2 linked regions of the Danio rerio genome follow. The protein of the gene in region 1 interacts with the protein of each later gene in a pairwise test. Links are inferred from orthologs where the notes say so. Each region holds a gene or a part of one and is shown on either strand. Other genes may lie near its edges. The genes, in order: poc5 and cetn4.

Region 1 (4,612 bases):
ATCTATCTATCTATCTATCTATCTATCTCTAATTCAATTATAGTTTCTTTTTTCAGTCACTTTGGTGCATTTCTCAAAACACTATTTACATTTGCACAACAGTAATGCATTTCTCAAAACAATAAGTATACAAACTGCAAAACTATAGCTGGTAACCTGCAAAAGTGTGTCACTTGCTCCAAATGGATAGCTCATTCCTTAAAAGCAAGTATTCATGTCAATAAAAGTGTCAATGTCATCAAGATGAAAAGTCCTGACACCATTGTTGATGAACAAGATAGTCAAATGGCTTTGTCATGTTTTTATTATGACAGTTTATTCTGTTAATTTTTTCCAATGCAAAAAAAAAAAAAAAAAAAAAAATTCAGATTTTGGTGACATCTCCTGAAAATGCTCAAGACAGCACTGTATACTATTTGCACAGCTATTTGAAAACTACAGTAAAGTTAGACAGCTCTGCATTTAGTGAGGTATCTACAAGACACTGAATATGTATGTTTCACTTTTTTTTTTTTTACTGCATTTGCTCTTTGCTATTTAAATGTATTCACAGAATTGTGCAAAAGAATCAATACACCCTTATTTTAGACTAATGAAATTAGGACAATTATTAGGCTATATGGAATTACTATTCAGCATTCACAAGTTTAGTTAATTTTGACTATATGACATAAGCAAATGATAATGTTATATAAAACAGCAGAGAGTTGTCTGAAAGTTTATGCATGTCCAACAGCATTTGCAAACAAACCCTGTTTGGCATTTGCATTTGTTGGAAGGAATGAGAAACTGTTACTATGATGTGCACAAATGACTGATTGCTTTGAGAAATGCATTAACTGTTGTGCAAATGTAAATAGCTTAGTTTTGTGAGAAATGCACCAAAGCGACTAAGAAAAACTAATCAAGTGAACACATTTGTGACTGATAACACATTTGTAATAATGGAGACTTAAAAATAAAAATTAGGTTTTCTATTTATCTATTTATTTGATATGTCTAAAACCTTTGCAGGTTTTGCAAAGGTTGTAAATGAAACATACATTTGCAAAAAATGTAAATGAAACATAGTAATGCACATAAAATGTCTCAAATAAAATAATAACCAAATAAATAAAAAAATAAAACTAAACATTATCCCAAATAAACAAGTCCAGAAACTTTTCTAGTTAATGTAATTGTATTGTTGCAAATTTTTATTCTTTATGTATATTTTTAGACTACATTTTACATATATCTTTAGATTATATTTTATGTTTAATTGTATTTATTGTAAAATTCTACTTTTTGTATTAATATTAGCAGACTTTGGCATCAAAAATGCTTTCAGTTTCACTAAGAAAAAAATGTAAATGTTCATTGGAACACATTTTTAAAATACTAATTCAGATTTTCATCAATCTTTATCTGACTGCATTTAGCGAAAATTATATATTATATTTTTTTGCCGTTGTGACCATTGGGAACACATGTCAACAAACAGTGAACAGTCGCTTCGCTTCCGCGTCTCTGTTACCACGGAAACGTTCTACCCAATCACAATGAACAAAATAGACGTGGAATATTCTCAACCAATCAAATCGACTTTTACTACAGCGGCTAGCATTTTGAAACTGCTTTTAACAGTAGTGTGTGTTCTTGCAGACTGGAACTATTCGCTGAGTTAATAGAATAACAAATACATTTGAACTGTCTCTGGAAAGGTAATGAACTTACACTTTTATCTCTGTTACCACGCAGTGGGTTTAGGCTAACTCACACTGCCTGCTAAGACGCTTCAGCAGGAACTTGGGTTGCACTTTTGCCTCTGGAGCTCGCTGCTTATATCGGCTTTATGCGTGACCACTGGGTCGTTCTTTGACTGTATAATATACCATATGGTCCATATAAGTAATGAACATTAGCAAAACAAAACATCAGTGAACCTTTGCCTTCCATAACGTTAAGTTCGATGAGAAATCACTGCTGCTCAAATAAACTGAAGTTAACTTCGTTAGAGTTCGTTAGATTTTATAGTTCTGTAAATATATAATTATTAGTAACATTAGTAACGTTACTCTGCATGAGGAAATGTTATCTAATTAGTCTGGTCAGTGTTTTAATTATGATTACATGGTTGAGTTAGATAGGGAACTGTTTTGAAGTAATGTTAGGTTAGACTGGAAGTAACGTTAGCTATGAATTCCTCATCTTAAGGCAAGACATTGGGTAAAAAAGATAATGGCTAACTAACTTAACTTAGTTATTCCCATACCTCCCCCGATGACTGGAACCTTTATTAATCAGGGATCACCACTGCGGAATGAACCGCCAACTTATCCAGCATATGTTTTAAACATTATATGCTTATGCCCGTCCAGCCGCAACCCAACACTGGGAAACACCCATACACTCTTGCATGCACACACATAAACTACATGTTTATGAACATGCAAACTCCACACAGAAATGCCAACTGATCCAACAGGGGCTCAAACCAGTAACCTTCTTGCTGTGAGGCGATCGTGTTCCCCACTGTGCCACAGTGCACCCCAAAGCTGTTTCGTGTGTTTTCCTAAATGTTGTGTTTAAGTTATGAAGCAAAGTTGGTTTTATGTTGCCAGCCACATTTGTTTGAACAGTGACACAGTCTCTATATTGTTTACCAAGCTACTTTAATTATTCAGTCTTTTTCGCTTTTGCCTTATAGCAATTTGATGTAAAGAATTATAATGTTGTGTATATTTATTTGACTTTCATTTTATATCAAGCCCTTGGACAGGTGTTGAGAGTTCGCAAGTTTACAAAAACATTTACAAATGCATTTGGTTTGTCCAGTGTAATTGTTATGCCCATGTCAAATAAACATTACATACGATAATATTAGTTATAAATAGAGTTTTGTGAAAAGTTTTATTGAGATGTGTTGGATCAATTGAATAGCTATACATACACAAAGGAAAATTGAGACCTGTTTAAAATGATTTAGGACCTACAAGACTAAATTTCAGTAAATTTAAGACTTTTTTTAAGGCCTAAAATTTAGTTTTTGAAATTTCAGACATTTTAAGACCATGCAGACACCCTGATATAGATTCTGTGTAAACACAGTAATTAAATACATCTCCTAGCTCCGAGTCAACTGTAGTTCAGACTCAACATTGCATATCTTGCAATGTGACTATTGCAAATGCGTACATTAAGATGCTGAAACGATGTTTTGTGCAGCCCCAGTGATCATGTAAAACCAACTTTACCTCAATTGTTTAAATATGTTAACCAGCCATTGTATGATTAGCCATGTGCTTTCAGTTCTAGCACAAAATAAATAAATAAAAATCTGGACAATGAATGAATGAATTCATGCTCCGAATGATTCTTTATTTGTTTATTTTTTAATCTACTTGTCTTAAAAGCTTTAACAAAGGGGATTCTGGATATATATATTTTAATCACTTCATAGTTCAGAAAACATTAATACTACAAAACCTTGAGCAAACTTTTTTTGTAAAACAAATAGTATATAATCAAGCAAATTATGTATAAACGTGTCCTACCATATAAACCTCCTGTCCTGAATATAGAATAAAACTGTAAAGTCTGGTGTATATTTTTCAGCGTGAAGTGCAAAATTTTTAGCCATCTTAGGAAATTTGTCTTTTTTTTTTTCAAGGAATAAATCCTGTTTACATTTTTTTTTACATTTTTTAAAAAGCACATTAGCTTAAAAATTATTATATTTCTAAAAACAATTTTTTTTTGTCTTTGCCATGATGAAATATTTAATATTTCACCTGGTACTTAATACGTAGCCAATTTTCTAAAGGTGCTATTAAAATTTACTTTAGCAGTTTTTATTTATTTTTTTATTTTTGACCAATTTGCGGAGGTGGTTGGGGGGTTGTGCAGTTTAATTCACAGAATTTCTACAAAGTTGTATACTGTAAACTCGCTGACTTTTCATTCACATCCATAACGCATGTTTATTTTTCTTATTCAAACTAAAACAAATGTTTACAGATTGATATTTTTGATCCCATAACTCTGTGGTTAGTTGTTTTGGAAAATATAACCAGATATTTCATATTGTTAACTTATGTTTTGAGTTTTTATTGCAAATGTCACATCCAATTGCTCATTTATTATTATTTAATATCAGCCAAACTAAAAGAAATAAGACATTCTGCAGATGGTAAATAAGAAATGCTGTGAAAAATGTCTTTGCTCTTTTAAACATCATTGAGGAAATTCGTAAAAAAAAAATATATATATATACAAATTTCACTGATGGGCTAATAATTTTGTCTTCAACTGTACAGTATGTAAGTGCTAATGAGGTGGATATTTTTAGTGAGGTGCAGAAGAGAAAAATCTTTTTAAGAAAACAGCCTGAAATGTATTATTGTTGGAATCTATAGACACACACTGATGAAGTGCAAAAAAATAAACGCTTAAATGTGTTTTTTGGGTATTTTCTTTTAATAAGAGTAAAAAGTGTGCCTGAAAGTTTTTGCCTGCAGTGTCTCACTTAAATGAGTCATTTAAATGTTATAACATGATAGTTTTCCTTGATTCTGTATTTTAGATGTCATCAGATGAAGGGGAGAGAAATAGTCCAGATTTGCCTAGAGAT
Region 2 (2,958 bases), on another chromosome or scaffold:
AAGTCCATTTGCAAATGCATTTCCCATGTGTCTATGGGCCAACAATAATTGCTTCATTTTCTCCACGTCGTGCATGTAACATGACGAAACTCTAATGGAATCGCAAATCCTTTTGCATTTGAATTTCCCATGCCAACACTCAAACCTGTCAATCACACGACAGGGGAGGGGATATTTCATTGGGCGTGTTTGTATTGGGAAGTGACGTCACTCACAGTCGATGTGTACTTCTACTGTATTCAAAACTCACCTGCAGCTCCTCATCCGTCAGGTTCTCTCCGAGCTCTTTAGCCACTCGCTTCAGGTTCTTGAAGGAGATTTTCCCAGTGCAGTCATCGTCAAACAGCCGGAAAGCCTTCAGGATCTCTTCTTTTGAGTCTTTCTCACTCTGTTGACACACACAAATGACAACGTTTAGAGCAGAAGTATGACCAAAATCTATGCTGGTTCGAGTCCCGGCTGGGTCAGTTTGCAATTCTGTGTAGAGTTTGCATGTTCTCTCTGTGTTGGTGTGAGTTTCCTCCGGGTGCTCCGGTTTCCCCCACAGTCCAAACACTTGCGCTATAGGGGAATTGATTAACTAAATTGGCTGTGGTGTATGAGTGTATGGGTGTTTCCCAGTATTGGGTTGCAGCTGTAAGGCAATCCGCAGCGTAAAACATATGCAGGAATAGTTGGCAGTTCATTCTGCTGTGGTGACCCCTGATAAATAAGGAATTAAGCCGAAGGAAAATGAATGAATGAATATTATATTTAAAGCTTATTTTTGCCGGTCTTAAATGCTATGAAATTTAATATAGCCAATCAGAAAAAAGGATTTTATTATTGACCTCAGCAGATTTTACATTTTCAATTTTACATATGAAATACTGTGAAAAATGCTCTGTCAACATCACTTGGGAAATATTAGAAAAAGAATTCAAATTTCACTCATAATTTAGATTGAAGCTGGACTCTGTCAGTCCAGTGGTTCACATCACATCATACAGTGAAGACTCATTGGCGTCGTTCTCTGCAGAGCCTGCGGTGCGCTCCAGCGGTCAGATTTACTGTAGATTGTTCTGTTATTGTTTGGTTTGCTCACCATTTTCTGTGTCATCATAGAAAGGAAATCGCTGAAGCCGATTACGCCCGATCCTTCTTTATCAATATCAGCGATCATCTTCTTTATCTCTTCTTTCTTCGGCTCAAACCCCAGAGCTCGCATCGCAACCTGATGACAACAGTCAGACACTGGGTTAGTATGCAGTGTAACAATGGGAACCAGGAGGTGTTTTTGTGCTCATCTTTCACTTAAGAATCAAAAAATAATCTGACTTAATTTATTCAAAATTTTAGGGCTGCACGATATTTGAAAAAACTCACATTGCGATTTTTTTTTGTTTTTCTGCAATATAAAGTGATAATATAATTTCTCAAGATGACTTTAAAATTCTATCTGTAAAGAATTTCATAATTGCACATGGATTTGGATGATTTTGTAGGTGCAGAAACTATTTTAAAGCACAGATGAAAACAACAGAACAAAGATAAAAATGAACCAAGCAGCGCTTTATGGTTTTTGGTGGAGTCTGATAATATTGAGGTACAGACCTTCAGTAATTAAATATAAATCATGTCAATGTTTACATTCCAGATCATATCAATGCTGAAACTAAATATTGTGCAGCCCTACAATGTTTTACTGAAAAACATGTTGTGTGTGTGTGTGTGTTTATCTCTGTTGACTGTATATTCAGGTTAATGAAGTGATAAACATTTAATATGTTGAAAAATAAATAAATAAATAAGAGTATTGAATTTGCCCATTTCCAATCTTCAGTTTTCTGTTCTGTAAATGTATGCAAATTAGTGCATATTTAATTACATATTTCTACCCCATTTTCAAGTTCAAGTTGCTTTATTGGCATAAGAATCAGTACAGTATTGCCAAAGCACTTTAAATATGTAATATATTAAAACCATCAAAAAAATAATAATAATACAGTAGATAAGAAATAATGACAAAAAACTTTGATAAATATAACAACAACAACAACAACAACAACAACAACAATAATAATAATAATAAGTTTAAATTATTTAAATAAGATAAATGAATTTACATTAACCATTTCTTATGGTGTGTATGTATACATATTTTGCAGCTAGTCTAGATGTCAATTCATCCTCTCCGAGTACATGGTAAAGTTTTTTCTGAATCATTTAAATTGAAAAATGAATAAGTCAATGTTTCAAATTGGGGGAAAATATTTCTCTAGTCGTGGTGTATTTAGGGCAGAACAGAAGGAAGTGTGTCTCAACCTCTATTTGGTTTGTGTCACACTGTTTACATATTCTCTGTTTTTTAGGGGTCCAGGATTTTTTATGTCTGCCCTTTTCTATTTCTAGTTCATGATCACTGAGGCGATATTTTGAAAGAATGTGTTTTTCTTTTAATTGTTTAATGTTCAAAATAACCATAAGATTTCAGAAAATGTGTCATAGTATTTAGTAATAGTATTTAAGTCATAGTAATTAATAAGCTGGAAAAATTCTGATGCTCATTATTTAATGTATTATTTAATATTAAAATGACATTTCAGGATAAAATGTCAATTATGAAAGAGTAAAAATCTCTTTATAAAACTATACATGTAGAGACATTTTTAAATACTGGACATTTTGGATGAAAAACAAATCATAATTCCATTATTATGAAATAAATGACAGTGCATAACGGTCTAATAAATTAGTTAATTATTTTCCCCAACATATTATATTTATTTATTGCAAAATGTTAAATTTAAAGCATAAATTTAAAGATTTTTTCTTTTTTAAATATTTCCTAAATTATGTTTAAAAGGGCAAGGAAATGTTCACAGTATGTCTGATAATATTTTTTCTTCTGGAGAAAGTCTTATTTGTTTTATTTTGGCTAGAATAAAAGCAGTTATTAATTTTTTAAACACCATTTTA

What was found.
Region 2: the proteins of poc5 (region 1) and cetn4 interact in binary tests that used the Homo sapiens proteins (3 or more experiments, as listed by UniProt). The link is inferred for Danio rerio from reciprocal best matches to the Homo sapiens genes POC5 and CETN1.

What each region holds. Positions count from the first base shown.
Region 1 is NC_133180.1:46,918,689-46,923,300, reverse strand, and holds the start of poc5 (centrosomal protein POC5), read left to right. Parts: upstream 1-1,601; 5' UTR 1,602-1,703; intron 1,704-4,564; coding exon 4,565-4,612. UniProt on the Homo sapiens protein: Essential for the assembly of the distal half of centrioles, required for centriole elongation. Acts as a negative regulator of centriole elongation.
Region 2 is NC_133189.1:1,595,839-1,598,796, forward strand, and holds part of cetn4 (uncharacterized protein cetn4), read right to left. Parts: intron 1,238-2,958; coding exon of another isoform or gene 1,217-1,237; exon of another isoform or gene 1,214-1,216; coding exon 1,085-1,213; intron 389-1,084; coding exon 251-388; intron 1-250. UniProt on the Homo sapiens protein: Plays a fundamental role in microtubule-organizing center structure and function. Plays a role in sperm cilia formation.